2 linked regions of the Arabidopsis thaliana genome follow. The protein of the gene in region 1 interacts with the protein of each later gene in a pairwise test. Each region holds a gene or a part of one and is shown on either strand. Other genes may lie near its edges.

Region 1 (5,682 bases):
ATATCACGAGTCAGAAACATCAATTCAAAGCCTTTTAGCTTTTCCATTGCTTACCACACTTACTTCTCCATTTCCGATATTAGGTGAAACACCGAATTTAGCCTCTACTAGTCTCTGCTGTCACATAATATAACGTAGAACTCAATACATTCTCTTTTCTTTTGGTATTTATCAGTGAAGTTAGACTTGAAGGGCTGGAAACTCTTGACTATCTTGATAATATGCATGATAGAGAGCGGTTCACAGAGCAAGGCGATGCATTAACCTTTGAATCAGAGATCGATAGAGTGTACCTAAATTCTAAAGACGTGGTTGCCATTTTCGACCATGAGAGAAAACGCACATTCCTCATCAAGAAAGAAGGTCTACCTGATGTCGGTAAGATCCAAATACCGAAAACCTTAACCGCCCTTTTTACCAAGAATCCAGTTTTTAACAGTATTAGATTCTCGGTTTGTTGCAGTGGTATGGAATCCATGGGAGAAGAAAGCGAGAGCATTGACGGATTTGGGAGATGATGAGTATAGACACATGTTGTGTGTGGATGGAGCAGCCATTGAGAAACCCATCACCTTGAAACCGGGTGAAGAATGGACCGGGAAATTACATCTCTCGCTTGTTCTTTCCACCTAAAACCCGGTACCGGTTATCACAAACTCTGTGTCTTTCATTATCTTGTCTTGTGGGCTATTTTTTTTGTTTTAGTCTATAGAACATCACAGTGTGTGTGATTCGTCGGTATCAAAAATCCGAAATATTAAAAGGAAACCTGAGATTTGAAAAGGTCACCCATTTTTAGGAAGTGACTAGATCTCCTGGTTTTGTGCGAGATTTAACTTGTGTATGAAGACAATGTTATATACTATATTGAAGTTTGTACTTATTTGATGAAATCTTCAATAATACTAGATTTTAACCCGCGGTATATCGCGGGGACAATTTATTTTTTTAAGTTAGTATATATAAAAGTTTACAAATTATATCTATCTATAAAATATTTTTATTTTATAGTTTACAATTGTTATTAAGTAACGTCCTATCAAATCCGTCCCGCCAACCTGTCCCGTAAAAAAAACTCATTGATCTCATTTATGATATGTTTATGAATCATTGTTTAAATATTTTGTAATTTTGTAGTAATTAAATGCTATCAAATATTTGTGCGGTTTGATGATTATAATCGAATTGTTATAGTCATGTAGAAAAACAATATCAAAAATAATAATTTTGTAGTAATTCAATGATATTAAATATATTGGAAGTTTTATTTTAGTAACTAATCGTGTAGTTAATGTAGAGAGATTTCGGGAAGATTTTCAAATATTTAATTCAAAAATTTTATTTTTAATTATCAAAACAAACATTAAAATCCAGTGGCAGCTATTGTAAATAAATCTCAACTACAAAATTTATTTCACAAAATGGCTGCAAAAATGTATATGTAGATTTAAAGCTTTCTTGTTCTCATGGTTGACAATTCTTGAATAAACCATTTCTGAGACCATAAGCTAATTTTTTTGGGTACATATTTCAAGTATAGGAACAAAACTATAGTATAAAATAATCTTTATAGATTCAAATGCTTTAATGGCCTTATACTCATTGCCTCTCAATGTGGTAAGATGGTGTAAAATCATCATAATAATCATGAAAGATTTGAAAATTATTGGTCTATTATGATGCACTATAAATTCTATAATTGCGTCGGTCAAATATTTAATACACCGAAGAAATAGTAATATTATAAAAAGAGAATATTTATTGATGCCAAAAAGAAACCAAGAATTTTATTAAAATGGTAGAAGTCGATATGCTTTAAATGCCTTGAGCTTCATTATGACAAGTACTACAAAACAAAAAAAAACGTATTTGCCTAATACATTTGGTAAGTTAAATAATTTCCTTCTTAACATAATTAATTACTATATCGTTCTTTTTGTTAGCGTTGACCAATTAAACAACCGGTTATGTATATCTCGGTTCAGAAAACTTAACCGGTTTAACAAATAGCTAATGTTCCGATTAATTTACATTACTTCAGAACGAATCGAACTTTGTAAAACGAAGATCGATTACAAATTGAAAGATACAGCCTTAATTTGGCATTAAAAAGTTCAATGGTCCCCGGTTCGGTATTAAATAACCGGGTACGTACAGACTCACCGGTCACCAACCTGTAAACCGTATAAAGAAACAATAGAGTCGCATCAGTATCTTCCCTCGTCACTTTCACCCACTTTAATATGCCAAAAAATAAGAACAAAATTATATCCGTTGCTTGAAAATCACAAGCTCTTCTTAACTTCACAAGTGCTTCAATGGCGGTTCTTCACATTATCTTCACTGCGTAATTGAAGAAGTTGTTCTCTCTTCCTCTTAATTTCGAGTTGTGTTCTTAAAAAACTCCAGAGCTGATTCGATTCTCGAGAAGAAACTAAGCCGACAATAAAGTTCAGATCTGGAAAAAAGCGAGGTTACCAATTCTTTATTTTTAATAAATTTAATCTCGTAGTAGAGTTAGGGTTCTACTTTTCGACAATTTTAATTACCAGAAATTCTAGGGTTTATGTGAGTTTAAATTAAAGCTTCGTCATTTTCGAAGCTTAAAGTTACTCACTTTTTATGTCTCCCACTCCTGTTGTATTTTAAAATCTCCAGTGGTCACATAGAACAACTTCAAGATTCCACTTTTGCTTTTATAATCAGCAGTCTTCTAGAAATCTGTAATCTTTTCGCTTTTTTGGTACCTTTTATTTTAAATTAAAGTTCACAAATTTTCACCATTTATATGTCCATCATCATCATCACCACAATCAAATTGAGCTAAATTGGTTTTTGATTGTTGTTTTTCTCCAGCTCCAGATTACAAAAAGAAACAGCTCGTTTTTTTCACTTTCAAAAAAATGGAAGCTTTGAGGATTTATCTATGGAGTCTCTGTCTCTCTCTGTGTTTGATTATCTATGGAGCAAACTCAGATCCATTAGAAGACAAACGCGCATTGCTTGAGTTTCTTACCATTATGCAACCAACTCGTTCACTCAACTGGAACGAGACTTCTCAAGTCTGCAACATCTGGACCGGAGTTACTTGTAATCAAGACGGATCTCGAATCATAGCCGTTAGATTACCAGGCGTTGGACTCAATGGTCAGATTCCTCCAAACACTATAAGCAGACTCTCAGCTCTCAGAGTTCTTAGTCTCAGATCCAATCTAATCTCCGGCGAGTTTCCTAAGGATTTTGTTGAGTTGAAAGATTTGGCCTTTCTTTATCTTCAGGATAACAACTTGTCTGGTCCTTTGCCATTGGATTTCTCTGTTTGGAAGAATCTCACTAGTGTTAATCTCTCAAACAACGGGTTCAACGGGACAATCCCGAGTTCGTTGTCTCGTCTTAAGCGGATTCAGTCGTTAAATCTTGCTAACAATACGCTTTCTGGTGATATTCCTGATCTGAGTGTGCTCTCTAGTCTGCAGCACATTGACTTGTCCAACAATTATGATCTTGCTGGACCGATACCAGATTGGCTTCGAAGGTTCCCGTTCTCGTCTTATACAGGCATTGATATTATTCCTCCTGGTGGTAACTACACCCTCGTTACGCCGCCACCACCTAGCGAGCAGACTCATCAGAAACCGTCGAAAGCTCGCTTCTTGGGACTATCCGAGACGGTGTTCTTGTTGATTGTTATTGCTGTTTCCATTGTGGTGATTACGGCTTTGGCGTTTGTGTTGACTGTTTGTTACGTAAGAAGGAAGTTAAGACGCGGTGATGGGGTCATTTCGGATAATAAGTTGCAGAAGAAAGGTGGGATGTCTCCTGAGAAATTTGTTTCTCGGATGGAAGATGTGAACAACCGGTTATCGTTCTTTGAAGGATGTAACTACTCTTTTGATCTTGAGGATCTATTGAGAGCTTCTGCTGAGGTTCTTGGTAAAGGCACGTTTGGCACGACGTACAAAGCAGTTCTTGAAGATGCAACTTCTGTTGCTGTGAAACGTCTTAAGGATGTTGCGGCTGGGAAACGTGATTTCGAGCAGCAGATGGAGATCATTGGAGGTATTAAGCATGAAAACGTTGTGGAGCTTAAGGCATACTATTACTCTAAAGACGAGAAGCTAATGGTTTATGACTATTTCAGCCGAGGAAGTGTGGCTTCTTTGCTTCATGGTACGTTTCACTTTTTGATCTAATGCATCATAACTACTATCAGAATCAAACCCATTTGCTTTAGGCTCATTGTAGAGTTGAAATGTTTTGGTTTTCAGGTAACAGAGGAGAAAACAGGATTCCTCTAGACTGGGAAACAAGAATGAAAATAGCTATTGGCGCAGCTAAAGGGATTGCTCGTATCCACAAAGAAAACAATGGAAAACTCGTCCATGGGAACATCAAATCTTCGAATATATTCTTGAATTCCGAGAGTAATGGCTGTGTCTCTGATCTTGGATTAACTGCTGTAATGAGTCCCTTGGCTCCACCGATATCGAGGCAAGCTGGTTACCGTGCACCAGAAGTAACCGACACAAGGAAGTCTTCTCAATTGTCAGATGTTTACAGCTTCGGTGTTGTTCTACTCGAACTACTCACGGGAAAATCGCCCATTCACACTACCGCAGGTAACGCTACAACCCGAAGTGACTAGACTGTTTCAGCTGATATATTTTCGGTTTAATGATCATTCTGTGATGGACATTGCAGGGGACGAGATCATCCACTTGGTTAGATGGGTACATTCAGTAGTGAGAGAGGAATGGACCGCAGAAGTATTCGACATCGAGCTTCTGAGGTATACAAACATAGAGGAAGAGATGGTTGAGATGTTGCAGATTGCAATGTCCTGTGTTGTGAAAGCAGCAGATCAGAGGCCAAAGATGTCTGATTTGGTTAGGCTCATCGAGAACGTTGGAAACCGACGAACCAGCATTGAACCGGAACCCGAACTCAAACCCAAATCCGAAAATGGAGCCTCAGAGACTTCAACACCGAGTGAAATTTGAATCTATCAAAATTCTAACTGTTGATTCATCATCCCATATTTTACATATGAAGTTTGTATACTCCTGTGTTTATTTCTTCTCTCTTCGGTTTAGAACCGGTTCAACAAACACATTTCTGTTTAGGAATTCTTGGTTTTCAAAATTCGCTATGAAATAGATTCAAATTTCTGATTCACAAGTTTGTTTCATCAAAGCCTCTAAACCAGGGAAACCAACTGCTTCAGAGCCCAAAAAGCCCATTGGGCCGATATAATTATACAGAGTCGACAAAGTTTTATTTCTAGTACTTGTTTGACCCATAATCTTCTTCGGCTAGAGCCCGGCCTGTGATCGAACCGACAAAATGGAACTAGTGGTCTCAAGTAATGCGATATTTGGAGGGTTCTAACTTCTAAGAAGCACCACAAGCCAGCCTAAGACCCACATGGTATCCTCAGGATCATATTTGAATGGAGTTTGGACTAATAATTTATGTTTTTCATATTATCTATTTTACTGAAATACTAACATTTTCTGAGTCAAAAGAAAAGAGTTCATACAAAATGTTTTGTCGTGAATTGTGTTTTGGAGCCTTGGAGGAGGAACAGGTAGGTGGCAGGGATTACAATAGGAAGGAGACAAATAAGGCAAGTTACAACGTGAACTTGATTTGTCTAATTCCAGAAAATGACGTGTCCTTGCT
Region 2 (6,272 bases), on another chromosome or scaffold:
TCACATTATTTCCACCATCTAGTCATTTATGTCGTCTTAGATTCTTTTATAAATCATATTCATATGTGACTAACACGTCTTCACATTCTCATTTGATCATGTTGCTTAAAACAAATATCTCATCAACCACATAAGCAATAAATGTTTTTAGTTTTTGTTTGATTCAGTTCATTAATATATAATTACATGTCCATCTTAAGCGTTCCGTTAATTATCACATTTTTAAACTCTATGTGATTAGTTGCAGTTTGCAACTTGGTTTGTCAATTAACAATAATGTATAATTTACATATCTGTTTTTTTTGCGATTTTTTTTTTTTTTACATATATGTATGCCTCAGCATGCATTGTTATTTGTTGACTCTTTGAACTTAAGTTGTGTCCAATTGTGTCAGTCATAAATATGAACACGTGTTAAATATTATAGAGAAAGATTTGAGTTTTTACAATCTTATAATCCACTCTCCATAGTTTATATATGTACATGCACGATCAGTTTTAACTAATAATCATAAACATATATGTACATGTACAATCAATCTCATATGCAATCAAAGTAAATATAAATTAAAAAAAATGTATATATGGATCTCGTTTAGTTTAAATTCTAAACGTATATTGTCGAAGGAGAAAAACTATAATTTTGTTTGTGTATATTGATTGATTCTTCAGTAATTTCTTCAACTATTCTGATATATATATATATATATATATATATATATATCTACTTGCAATCATAGTTTAAAGATGTTATTTCTGTTAGATGTTTAATCTTGTTTTTTTCTGTCAGTAGTCTTTAATCACGTGCCAAGTAAGCAAAACACTCTCATTATTTTAAAGAATGTTGATTAAATAAACATTCGATGGGCGATGGCTATTGGAAACTGGAAAGTCAGCTAAATACAACAATTTTCCACTTAACATTCTAATTATCTAACTATTAATTATTAATCATTGCTGCATGCCTCTGTTCAACTGTACAGGCTGTTTTCGAATATTTTGTAGAGTACAACTTATCAAAAAATCCCAAACTCTTTTATCTGACAATAATATTTTAAGATATAAGAAATAGTCATAGTATCATATTTTTCAAACTATACAATTTTTATAATTTCATTAAAAGGCAAAATAAAAACCAGGTTACGTAATTAATTTAATAGTCAAATGTTTGCTACAATAATATATTTACAATTCTAGTTACATCTAAGTGTAATAAAATTACAATTCCATTATAGATAGTATAATGGATGATAAAACTTTTGTACAGTTGATAGTAAGAAAATTTAATAAAATATAGGATATTAACAAGAAAAAAAAAACAAAAAAAAAAAAACACGTTAATGGGTAAACTTCGAAACTGAAATTTTTGTAGAAAAAAACAATCACATCATCAATGTATCTTTCAAAATAATGTTTTGACAACTTATCAGTCACTTTTAATTGGGTGTGTTAGAAATAGAGGTACAGTTTAAAGTTTTTATTAGGTTTTGGGTGGTAAGGTGTGTTAGAAATCAGTTTATTTTTTAATCAGTCATTGGTGGTGGTGGAAAATATCATTTTCAAATTTCAAGTAGCAATTATGGGTGAAATTTCTTGTATAAATTTCAAGTAGCAATTAATATATCTTTTTTTATATATAGAAAATTTACATTTTGGTAAAAATTTAAATTAAAAAAAGGAGCATGGTTATATCTTGAATCTTGGTATCTACGAGCATATTATTTAGATATAACAAACAAGTTGGGAATAGACAAAACAAAATGACGAACTTTCCAACGAAAGATCCCATTATAGTAATGTTATTCTTATTTATACTTATACAATCTCTAGTGGCTTCCAAAGTACACAAAATGGGAGTATTATACCAACAAAAATAAACGACTAATGAATCAAAAAATTCAAAATTTGCTTTATTTTATTCTGAAAATCTAACGAGCTGAAACCAAAATGTTATAGATTTAAAATAGAAACAAAACACCGATGATTGACCCAATAAAAAGCAAAATAAAGTAGACCAAAAAGAATAATGGTTATGCTGATAATTGAGGAGTCGTCGTCACTCGTCACATGAGAGGAACAACAAGAAAAGTCAAAACGTTGAAGCTTTCTCGAATAACGCCTTCTTTAGTTTACAGTCTCTCGTTGCGGGTCTTATCTTCTTCTTCTTCTTCCCTCTTTCGTCTGCTCTATATTATGACCAGATTCAAAATTGCGTAGCGTACTAATTCAATATAGAGAGAAGTTAGATCAAAAGAAGAACACGAAACTCTGACTGTGTCTCTCTTTCTCTTCGTGTGTTTCTATATTTATATATAAAAAGACAAGATCTCTGGTCTGGAATTAGAAGAATCTTATTTGGGGTTTTTTCTTAGGATTAAGCTCTAATGGCAGATCAAGTAAAAGAGCGGACTTTAGAGGAGACCTCTACGTGGGCAGTTGCTGTTGTTTGCTTTGTCTTACTCTTTATTTCGATTGTCCTCGAACATTCTATTCACAAAATTGGAACCGTAAGTCTCTTTATATTTCTCCTTATTTCAAGATTCCCCTGTTTCTTGCTCTGCTTTCTGCTCTGTTTCTTTAATTACTGCTCTGTTTTTTTGGATTTGTTTAGTTCTTCTCCTATCACTATCAACACTACTAAATCTGTGAGAATAACGAAAATATCTGATCATTCCTTTTTTTGTGCCTTAAACAGTGGTTTAAAAAGAAGCACAAGCAGGCTCTTTTTGAAGCTCTTGAAAAGGTCAAAGCAGGTAACTATCTTTTTCTACTTAACTTGATCCATTATCAACAAGCTTCTTATCTTTTTCTACTTAACTTCATCCATTAACAAGCTCCTGATTTTGTTTTCTACGTAACTTCATTCAGAGCTTATGCTGTTGGGATTCATATCACTACTACTCACAATTGGACAAACACCAATCTCAAATATCTGCATCTCCCAGAAAGTTGCGTCAACAATGCACCCTTGCAGTGCTGCTGAAGAAGCTAAAAAATACGGCAAGAAAGACGCCGGAAAGAAAGATGATGGAGATGGAGATAAACCCGGTCGAAGACTTCTTCTTGAGTTAGCTGAATCTTATATCCATAGAAGAAGTTTAGCCACCAAAGGCTATGACAAATGTGCAGAGAAGGTAACTAATAATCTCCCTTCTCTCTCTATATAAAAATCATTCTCTGCTTGTTAAACCGATGGAATTTTGATTTCTATTGATGGATTTACTCAGGGGAAAGTGGCTTTTGTATCTGCTTATGGAATCCACCAGCTGCATATATTCATCTTCGTGCTCGCGGTTGTTCATGTTGTTTACTGCATTGTTACTTATGCTTTCGGAAAGATCAAGGTAACTAACATTTCTTGTGACTTACGCAGTTGTTAAGGCGAGAAAAAGAGTGTATGCAAAAGATTTTTATACTTGTTTTCTTGAGTATTGCAGATGAGGACGTGGAAGTCGTGGGAGGAAGAGACAAAGACAATAGAGTATCAGTATTCCAACGGTATGTAAATATGTGAGTATTCGACGAAACTTAAAGACCTGAATGGGAATGAATTAGTCTTGTTATGCAGATCCTGAGAGGTTCAGGTTTGCGAGGGACACATCTTTTGGGAGAAGACATCTCAATTTCTGGAGCAAGACGAGAGTCACACTATGGATTGTTTGTTTTTTTAGACAGTTCTTTGGATCTGTCACCAAAGTTGATTACTTAGCACTAAGACATGGTTTCATCATGGTATGGAATTTATTCTTTTTATCTATTGTTCATTATAACATGTATCTCTCAAAGACAATGATCTAACATTCTACATATTTCAGGCGCATTTTGCTCCCGGTAACGAATCAAGATTCGATTTCCGCAAGTATATTCAGAGATCATTAGAGAAAGACTTCAAAACCGTTGTTGAAATCAGGTTTGGATCTAATAATGATTGCTTTATAAAGTCTGAGCAAAGCCAATTTGGATATTTTATCTTAAATCTCTGCCAACTTTATGCAGTCCGGTTATCTGGTTTGTCGCTGTGCTATTCCTCTTGACCAATTCATATGGTAACGTTCATTGCTTACTCGCAAAAACTACATTTTAGCTGCATCAATAGTCGCACAAAAGTGACATCGGTTTTCTTTTGAAACAGGATTACGTTCTTACCTCTGGTTACCATTCATTCCACTAGTCGTAAGTACAAACAAACTCTTGAACCGATTTTGTCTTTTTGCCGCCAGTTTTGTAACAGAGTGAAAATATATAACTGCAGGTAATTCTAATAGTTGGAACAAAGCTTGAAGTCATAATAACAAAATTGGGTCTAAGAATCCAAGAGAAAGGTGATGTGGTGAGAGGCGCCCCAGTGGTTCAGCCTGGTGATGACCTCTTCTGGTTTGGCAAGCCACGCTTCATTCTTTTCCTTATTCACTTGGTCCTTTTTACGGTACAATACTTGTATCCTTCACCGCTCGTTTTTTCGATCTTTTTCGGGTTTTTTCTCCTAACGGTAGAATAAATTTTCTTATCTTTGCAGAATGCATTTCAACTTGCATTCTTTGCCTGGAGTACGGTAAGCGAGCCATTTCATTTTCTTTGAAAACATCGCTGTTACGGGCTATACTAATTGTTATGTCATAAATTTTCTGTATTTGCAGTATGAATTCAATCTCAATAATTGTTTCCATGAAAGCACTGCAGATGTGGTCATTAGACTTGTAGTTGGGTAAGCTAACATTATCTTGACTATTGATTCTTCTGAGAATTTGTCCTTTAACTGAAAAAGTATAATCCCCCTTTTTATAAATCTTGCAGAGCTGTTGTGCAGATACTTTGCAGCTATGTGACTCTTCCACTCTATGCACTTGTTACTCAGGTACTAGAAAACATTAGTGTTACATGGATGCCAGATTTTGGTTATATGATCTTTAGTTTTTTTTACATTGTGTTGAATGAAAATTGTGTGCAGATGGGTAGTAAAATGAAGCCAACAGTATTCAACGATAGAGTAGCCACGGCATTAAAGAAGTGGCATCACACTGCAAAGAACGAGACGAAACACGGAAGACACTCGGGATCCAACACACCTTTCTCTAGCCGTCCAACCACACCAACACATGGCTCATCTCCAATCCATCTCCTTCACAATTTCAATAACCGGAGCGTTGAAAATTACCCAAGTTCTCCTTCTCCTAGATACTCTGGTCATGGTCATCATGAACACCAATTTTGGGATCCTGAGTCTCAACACCAAGAAGCTGAAACTTCCACACATCATTCTCTTGCGCATGAAAGCTCAGAACCTGTTCTTGCATCTGTGGAACTTCCTCCTATAAGGACTAGCAAAAGCTTAAGAGATTTTTCTTTTAAGAAATGATGATTCTTGTTTGCTATATTTGATTTCGTACAGTGGGAAATTTGTCATATGAAAATAATTTCTTGTACATTACTAGTTGGATAAGAAATAACCATATCTATATGGATACATGATATGTTATTCTCTGGCAATGCTTAAGAGTTTCACGAATTACACATACATTTGTATTTCTGCAGGTTTTAACGTCCTGAGACATCAGTGATGGTGACATTGTTGATAGAGGCTTTAAGAGCAATGCTCTCAGAGAACTCAGCTTCTAAACCAACGTTTCTAGGCATAAAAGCAGGCTGTTTCGGTTCTGGAATGTCTGCAACCTCACTGCTAAGCATCATACACACTGTAGAAACACTTGGCCTATCATTAGCAGCGTCTTGCACACACAAAAGCGCAATGTGAACGCATTTTCGTATTTCTTTCTCAAAAAGTTGGTCAAAAATCTCAGGATCTACCATACCATTAATCTCCCCTTCGTTCCAGATTGACCACACCTATGAAACATAGAAGCTTTGATGGCTTGATGACAATCTCAAGAGAGTTAAGAAACTTTACGAGTTAAAGTAGACTCACATGAGCCAAAAGAGTTGAATGTGAGTTTCTTCTTCCACTGATAATCTCTAAGAGTATCACTCCTAAGCTGAAAACATCAGATTTCTCTGAAAACAGTCCTCCCATTGCATATTCAGGTGCCATATAGCCACTGCACGATACATTTATTTTCTCGGTTTTAGGACTCTTAATGGAAAAAAAAGATGTAAACATATGGTTGAATGGAGTTACATACTATGTTCCAACGACCCTTCTGGTGTTTGCTTCATCTTCATTCCCCGGGAATATCCTGGCCAACCCAAAATCAGATATTTTCGGAATCAGATTCTCATCTAGCAAGATGTTGCTTGCTTTCAGATCTCTGTGAATG

What was found.
Region 2: the proteins of AT4G23740 (region 1) and MLO2 interact in a protein complementation assay, tested with the Arabidopsis thaliana proteins (one large-scale study listed by BioGRID).

What each region holds. Positions count from the first base shown.
Region 1 is NC_003075.7:12,364,160-12,369,841, forward strand, and holds AT4G23740 (Leucine-rich repeat protein kinase family protein), read left to right. Parts: upstream 1-1,922; 5' UTR 1,923-2,473; intron 2,474-2,691; exon of another isoform or gene 2,692-2,856; 5' UTR 2,857-2,903; coding exon 2,904-4,170; intron 4,171-4,268; coding exon 4,269-4,619; intron 4,620-4,701; coding exon 4,702-5,000; 3' UTR 5,001-5,179; downstream 5,180-5,682. Other genes in the region: AT4G23730 (Galactose mutarotase-like superfamily protein), read left to right, coding at 1-83, 176-378, 446-633.
Region 2 is NC_003070.9:3,799,983-3,806,254, reverse strand, and holds MLO2 (Seven transmembrane MLO family protein), read left to right. Parts: upstream 1-2,021; 5' UTR 2,022-2,384; coding exon 2,385-2,507; intron 2,508-2,559; exon of another isoform or gene 2,560-2,695; coding exon 2,696-2,753; intron 2,754-2,868; coding exon 2,869-3,134; intron 3,135-3,227; coding exon 3,228-3,344; intron 3,345-3,437; coding exon 3,438-3,498; intron 3,499-3,568; coding exon 3,569-3,732; intron 3,733-3,815; coding exon 3,816-3,910; intron 3,911-3,996; coding exon 3,997-4,046; intron 4,047-4,132; coding exon 4,133-4,173; intron 4,174-4,252; coding exon 4,253-4,426; intron 4,427-4,516; coding exon 4,517-4,552; intron 4,553-4,637; coding exon 4,638-4,705; coding exon of another isoform or gene 4,706-4,709; exon of another isoform or gene 4,710-4,794; coding exon 4,795-4,855; intron 4,856-4,948; coding exon 4,949-5,356; 3' UTR 5,357-5,535; downstream 5,536-6,272. Other genes in the region: AT1G11303 (G-type lectin S-receptor-like Serine/Threonine-kinase), read right to left, coding at 5,536-5,844, 5,924-6,053, 6,138-6,272.